Caenorhabditis elegans: one gene and its partner. The protein of the gene in region 1 purifies or fractionates together with the protein of each later gene. This does not show direct contact. Each region holds a gene or a part of one and is shown on either strand. Other genes may lie near its edges.

Region 1 (3,715 bases):
GTCGGAGTCGGAAAGTCGGAAAGTCGGTTTATTAAGAAATTTGAAAAACATGATTTTCGATCACAATTTTTTCACTGTTTCCAAATTTAAGTAAATACTCGGTGCTTCTTTCTATGAAAGTGATTCACTCGTTTGAAGAGAAAAAAATTCCTTGTCAATTGAGAATTGAAAATCAGAGAGCTTCCGACATCTGGTGGGTTCTTCTGTTAACGTGAGAGTAGCCCGTAAGATGTCGGCCGTTATTTTTCTTCTCAAAAGCCAATTATAAACCTGTAAATGTTTCCGAAGCGTCCGACATCTGCCGGGTTTCACTCCACTAATGGGAAGTGGGCAAGGGGGAAGCCGGCAGATGTCGGTCGCTTAAAACTATTTAAAGTCTGCTTTAATGTTTCTATAAATTTTAAAATTCAATTTTCCAGATCATCGCACCATCGAGCACCCAACCCGGAAAGTTTCGATTAAACGAGAGCGCCTTGAACTCTGTATTAGGACATTCTGCGTGTGCTAATAAAAAAGTGAGTTTTGTCTGTTTTGTATGATGTGTGGTAGTAACAAGAAAATTTTTGGAATGATACTTTGTTCGAAATAAATCGAAAATAAATAGTTGGTAGAGGGCTTGAAGACTTAACGGCGGGTTCCGTCCTCGAAGAAGATTCCTCCGTCCAAAGCGCAGTACCTGAAAAAGTAAAAAAGTTAGGCGACTATTCAAATACTTGAATTCAGTTTCAACATACTTTGGACAGATTCCCTTCTCTCCTGGAGTTCCGTCTTGTCCTGGAGTTCCTGGCTTTCCTGGCTCTCCATCCTTTCCTGGCTCTCCTGGAGTTCCTGGTTCTCCCTTGGCTCCTGGTGCTCCTGGAGCTCCATCGATTCCGTTGGATCCTGGTGGTCCTGGTGGTCCTTGTTGTCCGGCCTGTCCTGGTGGTCCTGGTGGTCCTGGAACGGCTGGCTCAGACTTGGCTGGTGATCCTGGCTCTCCTGGGGCTCCGGCTTGTCCTGGTGGTCCTGGTGGTCCAATCGGTCCCTTTGGTCCTGGCTCTCCTGGTGCGGCGTCTGGTCCCTTTGGTCCTTGCTCTCCTGGTGGTCCGTTGTCTCCTGGAATTCCTGGCTGTCCTGGTGGTCCGGGTGGTCCTTGTGGGCATGGCTGGCATGGTGGTGGGGTGGTTGGCTCACATGGTTGCTGTGGTGGACGTCCTGGAGTTCCTGGTTGTCCTGGAGCTCCTGGCTTTCCTGGCTTTCCAGGCTTTCCTGGGGTTCCCTGTGGTCCTTGTGGTCCTGGCAAGCAGCAGCCGGCGCATTGCTCGTTGTAGGTAGAACGGGCGGTACGGTTGGCGCTCAATGGGAGCTCGCGGATGGAGTAGACAGAGTTCCACACGTCCTTGGCGGATCCCTTGCAGGCGTAGAGCTCCTGGTGCATCTGGGTGCGCACGTGTTGCACATAGTTGTACACCATTGGGAGGGTGATGCAGACCTGAAATAGTAAAATTTCAACAAAAAAAATTGAAAAACTAGCAGCCGGCACTATATTGGTATTCTTTTTTGCAAAACTAACAATCGCAGAATATCAAAAATAATCAACTAGGAATTTAGGTTTATTTTGAAACAGTAATTTTTTTAGAAAAAAAAATTAAAAAATAAAAACTTTTCTTACCGAAAGAACAGCCATTGCTGAGAAGCAGACGGCGGCATATCCGACGAAGCGGTAAGCCTTAATCTTCGAATCGATGTCCATTATTAGGCTTTGGAAGCTGTGAACAGACCGATGATTTCGACGCATTTCGCCATTTTATAGCGAGTGCGGTGAGCCGGCTGCTTAGCCAGTCCCAGCGCCCATATCTCTATTAATCGGACACTATTTCTCCTATGCAGGGGGGGTATGCCTTAGAAAGTTCAGGGTGGAGGAGAACGGAACAGGTATTTGCGCCCAGGCGTTGCCCTCCTCTTCCCCCGCAAAAGTTTCTTATCTCCGTGAAACAATCATTTTTGTATCGCTAACACTGAGGAGAGAAAAAAGATGAATGTGTTCATGATTTACCTATTAATGGGAATGTTTTGGTTATTTAGGGTATTTATGTAGAAAGCGTTTAAAAAAAATTTAAGTAATGTTTTAAAAAATGTACTGTTTCATTACTATCATTTATTGGATAGAATTTAAAAAAATATTCGTTTTCAAAACTTACCAAATTGTTTGAAAAATACACTGTTTCATTATAATCATTAATTGTGTCGTCTTAGCTGACAAATTAGTTTACTGGATGTATTAATCTCATTTTAAAAGTAATGTTTTAAGTTAAAAAAATCAAATAAAAAATAAAAACGTGTAGCATAGGATTAGGAAATGATAATTTCTAAGCCTGGTGCAAAAAATTGTACATCACGTTTAAATTAAATGGAGAATTGAATGAGCATTCAATTTAATTCAAAAATGACAGCATGTAATACAAAAGTACTGTTAACTTCAAACAAACTCACTGAAATTTTTAGAATTTTAAAATACTATAAAAAAATTTACTGTTTCTTAATTTTCATCAATTAAGGGGAGTATAAATAACAATATTCCAATGTAGGTATTTGTTTTTCAAATTTATAACAATGTAGTAAATTAATAGTTTGCAGAGGAATTTTCGAACACAATTTTGATTAACATTGAAAAATACTGAAAACGAAAATGTATCGACAGCAGCCTCGATTAGAACGGTAATTCACGAAAAAATTAGTAATTCTCAAACTCCGCAAAAATTGGATAATTAAATTGTTGAAAAAAATTATAAATATTTATGAAGGACTGGCGAAACAGAAAAAAAATTTTAAAAATTATCAACTAAAGAATCAACTGTTTCGTTATTATCATTAATTGTGTCGTCTTAACTGGGAAATTAATTTTGGTGTCGAAAAGTTTCAAATTTTCAAAATATAATTAAAAGTTACTATTTCATTGTTATCATTAATTAAAAAGAGTTTAAATAAAAACGTTGCGAGTTTTTTGCCCAATAATATTTAAAAACATTTGTGGAGCCTTAAAAAACTTAAATTTATTATGAAAAACAACGAAAAAAAACGAAAATTTATCGACAGCAATCTAAATTAGAACAGGAAAAGTGGTAAGTATTCCCTCTCTACAACTATTAGTTTGCAATTATTTATAAATATGATGAACACAAAAAAAAATTGAAAAAAATTAATCAACTAAAAATCAACTGTTTCGCTAATCTCATTAGAGCAGTTGAAGAAAAATAAAGTATTGTATCAATATTATTATTAATTAAAGAGATTTTTAAGAGAATATTTCATTTTGTATAAGAGAATATTTCATTTTGAGGTTTTCTGAAACAAAAAAAAGAGCTTTTTTCACTTTTTTGTCATTTATATTAACAAACTCGTTGTAAATCAGTAGTGCCCCAAGAATGGAAACTTGAAAATTTGAGAAAAATAAATTGTGAAATAATAATTTTCAGACTCCAAAAACAACTTCGCCTACACCGAATTTTATAGTTGCATTGCTATGTACTTTTGGAGTATTTTCCGGGGAAAAAAATTCAATAAATTAATTTAAAAAATTTACTGTTTCTATTTTGTCATAAATTGTTTCGTTTTAGCTGGGAAATTAATGCATTCTTTTTAAAATTTCTTAAAATTTCAAGCTTTTAAAATACGATAAAAAGTTACTGTTTCATGGCTATGATTAATAGGAGAGAGTATGAAAAACAATAGTGAG
Region 2 (6,518 bases), on another chromosome or scaffold:
AGATGACATTTTTGATTTAATTCAAAAACTGAATGTGTTCTGACAATGCGTTCTGATAGAATGCCTTTTATAAAACTGTTTTACGTTTGTTCAGCTTTTCCAAAAAGTTAGTTGATCCATTAAAGTGCCAAATCGGTGGGATCATCAGGTGTTTGATCCTAACAGTATCCATTTTCAAAAACGATGTTTGCATTTGTTATAACGGATATGGAAAGTTAGCAAAATTAATCATTATGTACACATATCCTATTTGAGTTGTCATGAGTAACTGGAGTGATGCTTTCAGTTGGCATTGTTTCACTGCAAATACGGAATTTTCACCCAAAATAGGAATTTTGCGGGGGTGGGGTTTTCAGTAGCCGGTTAATTTTTAATTTTTTTACTAATCTTTAAAAAAACGTTTGATTCAATGAGGTCACGCTTTAAAACAACAAATAAGTTTGGCTAGCAATAAATTTACATGAGAACATGTAAAACATCCAATAACAAAGTAATCCTTTCTATTCTTCGTAATTTCCTATAATTAATCACTTTCGATAATGATTCAATTTAATTTAAAAAAAAATAGACATCTCATTGCTATTAAAAAACTTGCACAACACGTTTTTGCTACAGTTGTAAATGTATTTTAGCTACCAGAAATATGTTTTCTGACATTTGGTAAGAAGCATTCAAACTGCACAAATGGTATCTGCAATAAAATAAAATCAAAAAAATTGCAATAAAACATTCCTTTTCAATTTTTTTTCCAATTTTTCAAAAGCAATTTTTTTACAAAAAGTTCATAAATTCAAAATCAAATAGAGCAAGAAAGACTCGTAAAAATACACTGTGAAGCTCATAAACCTGTTTGAGTTTTGAAACAAGATCGTTGAATGTAAGAACAGACGGGGGTCTTTGGGATTGGATAATGAAGCACTTTAAAAGTGTGTACAAGAATATTGGTTTGAAACATCATCAGATGAGGAGCCATTCGCATCGGCCGGGACAATCAGCAGTCAGTTTACCAAATTGCTCACAAATCTGCGACAGACGATTTTCATCAGGCATCAGTCCTTTGACGTCATGAAGAGCAGCAATTTCGGAGAGGACGAGCTTGGTAAACGCCGGCCATTGCCCGTTGCGGACCAGGGCACGGGATTTTTTCAACCACATCCGCGGATCTTTCCCTAGCAATCGATGACATCTGGCCGCTGTCATGTAGTAGCACGCCTTCTCGGTAAATGATCCAAACTGTTCAATGCCTTCATTGCATTCTTTCAAAAGTTTCAGACATTCGACATACTGACCATGGCACATCTGTAAATTTAGATTCTAAAAATTGTTTTTCATTTGATAAATGCGATGTTCTCAGAAAACGTTTATTTTATCTAACTAGTAAGCGAGTATAGTCTGACATATCTGGTGACATCTATAAAAAATACAATACCTTATGTTTTCAAACATCTCACTTCAAACAATTTTTAAGGCTGAATAAAAAATAATTTTCGGAGTGCAGCGCAAAATTTACGGATTCAAAACCCTAACGACAGTGCTCCACTTTGTAGATTCTTCAGTGAAATATCAAGATGGCGTAAAAAAATTCATGCAATTTTTTCTTTACATAAAATGCTTACCAGCATAGTTGCTTGTCTTCTCTTGACCATTGGCACAATGTCCTTCAGTGTGGTGTTCTCAGCAAGACTCAAGGCGTCTGCAAATTCTCTTGCAGCTTTTCTAAATTCTTGACTAGCCGTGTAAATGCATCCTGTTTGCATGTGAATTCGAATTCTTCCACGAATGTCCACAACGTTCAATCCCTCCAACACTTCAACACTTGCCCGTTCTTTTCCGGCTGCGGCGAGGAGAAGAGCTTGTCTAAAAAAATTATAGAAATTAAATGAGGTAATACTTTCAATTGCAACTCACCGAAGCTTGCATTCTAGTTCAGAGTGTGCTGCGAGATTCAAAACTTCAGAAGCACAAGCCTTGTAGTCATTTTTCAATAAGAATCTTTCAAAGTTGATGACAGCTGCACAAATGACAACGTGACGGTTGGACTGCCAAGAAAGTTCTTCCGGATAATTTTGTCGCATTTCCTCAATAGTTCTTAGTGCCGCGTCGTAGTTTCCGACTCCAGCTTGTGAATAAGATAGGTTTACCGCACCAATTGCCTGAAAATTGATACATCATACTTGAATTTCATTAGATACATATAAATTTTGCACCAATTTATTATTTGTCACAGTTCTAACTTGTACTTACCCAAGGTTCGGCCTGAAAAGGAGCCTGGAAGGGGTCTGTTTCATCGGTTCTGCAATTGTTTGCCAGCATGTTTTCTGCGGCGCACTTTGCTTGATGATACATTCCATTATGAATCCTGAAATTCAGAATGGTTTCTAGGCCATTTGCAACGAGCTACTTACATGTTACTAGATATCAGAGCAGCTCCATAAGCAGCCACTTTTCGTCCTCGTTCTCCAAGATCATTACCGACTGGACACGTTATTCCGGTTTCCGCAACTCTGTCGTAGATCCTGTAAATTTGGAAAGTTAAAGCGACGTCTCTGATTGAATGCTCACAGCTTATAGTTTCCTTCTGCAATGATCTTCATCAACATGAGCATTTTTCCATATGAGTCCATCTCTGCGACAAGCTCAAAATCTTCTTCAGAACTTAGACAGCAAGGCCCGGATCGCGTATGTCCGTGAAGACTGAAATGTACTAATTAGTTTTATGACTCTATACTAGTAGATAATCCAACTTACTCGTCTATGTGCAGCAAGGCTTTTCTCTGAACTCGCCGTTCATTTTCAATGTGCTTAGCGGTTTCTGCAAATTTGATTTGTTGTTGTCTTAGTTCTTATTGATTCAAAAAATAATAGACGAGCTCACTTTCATTGTTATCCTCAAGCAGCGCCCTGCATCCCAATATGTCGACAGTGTGCATTTCGATGTTGGCCATTTGATGGCAAATCTCATCATTTCGGAGCTGGGCTTGTTGGAGACTCTCGTGGAGCAGGAGACGAGCCATTTGGCTGGAAAATGAGAATATTTATGTACTCTTTATTGATATATCTTACTAGTCTCCAAATATTCTGCAAATTCTGGCTTGAAGAATCGGTGCATACATCAACGGGGTTTGAGTTGGAACTGCCAATCGATGCGTTTTTGCGGCATGCACCATGTTCTCATTTAGTCTGAAAATTATTTTTTTTGTTCTTAAACCTCGGTGGCGGTATAACGGTATAACACTTACTCAAACATGGACAACTCGAAAAACGATTTCATTGCCTTAATAGCCGACGAGCTATCTTTCAATTGAACTTGCACAATGGCCTCTAGCAGGAACCCTTCAACAACGTCCGGGTGTCGCTTCTGTACGATCCGGGTGTAGTGAAGCATCTCGTTATATTGGAAGGCAAAACGTGGGTTCTTCTGTAAAAACATGGAAACATTATTACTTTTCTTTTGTCAGTTTCAAACAGAGCTCCCAGCTGAGTGAGGCGCAAAATCCGGGCCTCACGCCGTCGCCGCGCGCCGCTGTGTGTGTGAAATGAAGTTCGAGAGGTAGTCATTCAAAGCGGCCGACACGTTCGGGGTTCCGCAGCTCAGCGTGAAATGAGTAGCATGGTGTGTGCGCAACGTAGTGTGAAAAGGTGGTGGGCTGGAAGCGGCCGACACGTTCGGAGGTCTGCGCTTCACTGTACATGCGGCGAGGGTGACGACGTGAGGCTGGCTCGGCGACCGCATGGGAGTTTTAGTTTCAAATAGTATCTCACCTGAATGAAGTAAATGCTCTTAGCAACCCAATCCCTTGCTCTGACAGAACAGTCGATGAAGTGTGGAAGATACTCTCCCTTGAACTCGGGATGATATCTGCAAAAGTTTCGGTATTTTTAGCAAAGCTTCGTCACTTACTTTGATTCAACAGCAGACAAAACCCATGATTTCATGGCTGCATTTATCTGGAACACTTCTGAAGGAGTTGACTTGGTGTATTGTGCCAGGAGCTGAAATATAATCAAACTGAAACAAATTTTTTCGATTGAAAAATCATACTCGTTTCATCCATCTGTACATAAACGAGTGATTGGAAGAAAACTGGATAATGTCTCCGCGCGCCAAGTCCATAGCTTCATGTACAGTGTCATTTGCTGGCAATTTCGGATCCTTTGGGTGCTTGTTGGTGTAGAACTCATCTTCAACGTTAAGAGTAACATCCGCCATTCCGGCGCCAATTTTCTCCATACTGAAAGAATGGAGAGATGCCAGCGGATTGTTTTGTATTATTGATTATGCTTATAATGCTCCAGAAAATCGAGCTAAGAAACATTATTGCATTTAATTTATTGTCGAATTGTTTGACTAGTTTTTATAATAGTTTACAATAAATTATAATGTTTTTTTAATTGTATAAAATGAAAATCGTTTGACTTACGCTGCATAAAAGTTTTTACAAACTTCACGGCCGTCATCAAATGCAAGTCGAGTGACAATTCTGAAGTCCTTATAAGAAAGCTCCACGACTGACGTCATCAATGCATACAGCCAATGGAAGATTCTAAAACATGAATTTGGTTTCTTTTTTTAAAATTTTTCCAAACTACTTACCGTTCTTTTTCGGCGGGGCTAAATGGTTTGTAGTAAGCACGTTTGTGACGGAATCCAAAGTGTGTTTGAAAAAGAATGCGAAGAAGGTAGAACGTTGCAATCTTAAGTAAATTTTTAGTACTTTGAAGGTTTTCTAAACTAAAAAACTTACTTTTGTTGGAGTCACTGGCTCTCCTGTCAAATTTGAGAAGACATGGCCGAAAATTGCATCCAAGTTGAGATAACTCCGTTTGATGATGGGCCGCGGCGCCGCTTTCTGCATTTCTGGAAAAAAAATATATAAAAACCTTGTTTTTTAAAGGTAATACTAGAAAATAGACGACTAAAATTCAAAAAAATGAAGAGGGATCGGTGCAGGTCGGTGGCTGCAGGCGCATTATTGGTTTGCTGGCGTGTTTCTCGTGGAGGAGGGGCGGGCGGGAGGACACACCATGTAGCAGAGAAAACTCTCTTATTTTGTGCACTCTCTCATCGGTATGGCCCGTTCTCAAACAACACACAACAGATATTATGAAGACATGGTTTTGATATGCATTCAGTTTACTAGAGACAAACTACAATAAAAGAGGAACGATGAAATTAGCATAATCCGCAAGTTTTAGCACAGTAGAGTTCACGTTGAGCATCTGTGTAGAAGCTGTTAGTGCAGAAGCCGTTGGCCGCCCAAGATGAGCATCTGAAAGTTCAACTTGTTTTAGGCTAGTCAGTAGAATTGATTGATCTTACGATGAAGCTGAATCTGTGCAACTAGATGATGTAGAAGCGGTAGAGCTCGACGAAGAAGAGTCACTGGAAGAAGAGCACAGAGAGCAGGTAGCTGCACAGTACTGAGTTTTGATAGCAGTAGTGTAGAAGGAAGAAGTGCAAAATCCATTAGCAGCCCAGGAAGTACATCTAGAAGGTTTTTATTTTGCAAGTGGCAAATAATCAAGTCTTACGTGGAAAAAGAATCTACACATGTGGTAGTGGTTGAGGAAGATGTAGAAGATACGACAGATGTGGAATCTGAGGATGAAGTGGATGATGAAGAATTGGAAGAGGTTGTTGAAGAATCAGAGGATGTAGTAGAAGAACTGTCAGCTGTTGTTGTGTCTGAAGAAGATGTTGAAGACGCGGAGCTGGAAGATGATGAAGAAGATGAAGAAGAATCATCACTGGACGTTGCAGCTGTGGACGAAGAAGAACTTGTAGAAGCAGTGGACGATGAAGAGCTAGAATCTGAAGAATCAGAGCACAAAGAGCAGGTTGATGCGCAGTATTGGGTTTTCTGAGCGGTAGTGTAGAATGTAGAGGTGCAAAACCCATTGGCAACCCAGTTCGCGCAGCTGGAAGAAAAAAAAATGAAATTTCAAATTTCAAACTGAATAAATAATCTGTAACTTACTTTGAAGCCGAGTCGGAGCACATTTCAGCGCTTGAAACAAAGAAAACAATTGTTAAAACGAAGAAGGTGTTCATGGTAGTGAGAGTTGAAAGTTGAATGTTCTGTGGGCCCTCACTGGCTAACTTTTATCCGATCTGTTTCCTGTTTGAACAACTGTCACAACGTTTTGACCCCTAATAAGCATTGGCACCTAGAGGAGGAACTATTAATGAATACATAGGTCTATAACAAGTTGCGCTCGATCATATGAATCATAAAGTTGCTGATCTTAAAAAGACAAATGAATTTTTATTTCTGAACTATGTTTTAATGAAATCAGCCAATAATAATTATTATTACAGTTAAAATTTTAATCGGTGAAAACTATTTCATTTTCCCATTGATATTACACCAGCAAACCTGCGTCTGCAAATGATGAAGGTCAAACGCCACATGCTACGTTTTCTTGATAACGATATCATTTTTCACTATTTATTTTTTTCAATCATCTTCAAATTTCGCGGCCCGGTTAGCTCAGTCGGTAGAGCACCAGACTCTTAA

What was found.
Region 2: the proteins of dpy-4 (region 1) and gfi-3 purify together in Caenorhabditis elegans (affinity purification with mass spectrometry, with the first as the bait; one large-scale study listed by BioGRID). This does not show direct contact.

What each region holds. Positions count from the first base shown.
Region 1 is NC_003282.8:14,985,021-14,988,735, forward strand, and holds dpy-4 (Nematode cuticle collagen N-terminal domain-containing protein), read right to left. Parts: upstream 1,765-3,715; 5' UTR 1,733-1,764; coding exon 1,652-1,732; intron 1,563-1,651; exon of another isoform or gene 1,541-1,562; intron 1,472-1,540; coding exon 735-1,471; intron 677-734; coding exon 625-676; 3' UTR 523-624; downstream 1-522. Other genes in the region: atln-2 (GB1/RHD3-type G domain-containing protein), read left to right, coding at 420-515.
Region 2 is NC_003284.9:14,478,912-14,485,429, reverse strand, and holds gfi-3 (Protein gfi-3), read right to left. Parts: upstream 4,859-6,518; 5' UTR 4,857-4,858; coding exon 4,746-4,856; intron 4,696-4,745; coding exon 4,595-4,695; intron 4,545-4,594; coding exon 4,422-4,544; intron 4,233-4,421; coding exon 4,043-4,232; intron 3,994-4,042; coding exon 3,902-3,993; intron 3,860-3,901; coding exon 3,763-3,859; intron 3,419-3,762; coding exon 3,240-3,418; intron 3,181-3,239; coding exon 3,064-3,180; intron 3,019-3,063; coding exon 2,876-3,018; intron 2,813-2,875; coding exon 2,749-2,812; intron 2,695-2,748; coding exon 2,563-2,694; intron 2,517-2,562; coding exon 2,406-2,516; intron 2,360-2,405; coding exon 2,245-2,359; intron 2,154-2,244; coding exon 1,909-2,153; intron 1,858-1,908; coding exon 1,617-1,857; intron 1,300-1,616; coding exon 958-1,299; 3' UTR 728-957; downstream 1-727. Other genes in the region: M163.8 (ShKT domain-containing protein), read right to left, coding at 1-9; M163.11 (ShKT domain-containing protein), read right to left, coding at 5,174-5,270, 5,321-5,488, 5,533-5,919, 5,979-6,052. UniProt on the Caenorhabditis elegans protein: Probable component of the anaphase promoting complex/cyclosome (APC/C), a cell cycle-regulated E3 ubiquitin ligase that controls progression through mitosis and the G1 phase of the cell cycle.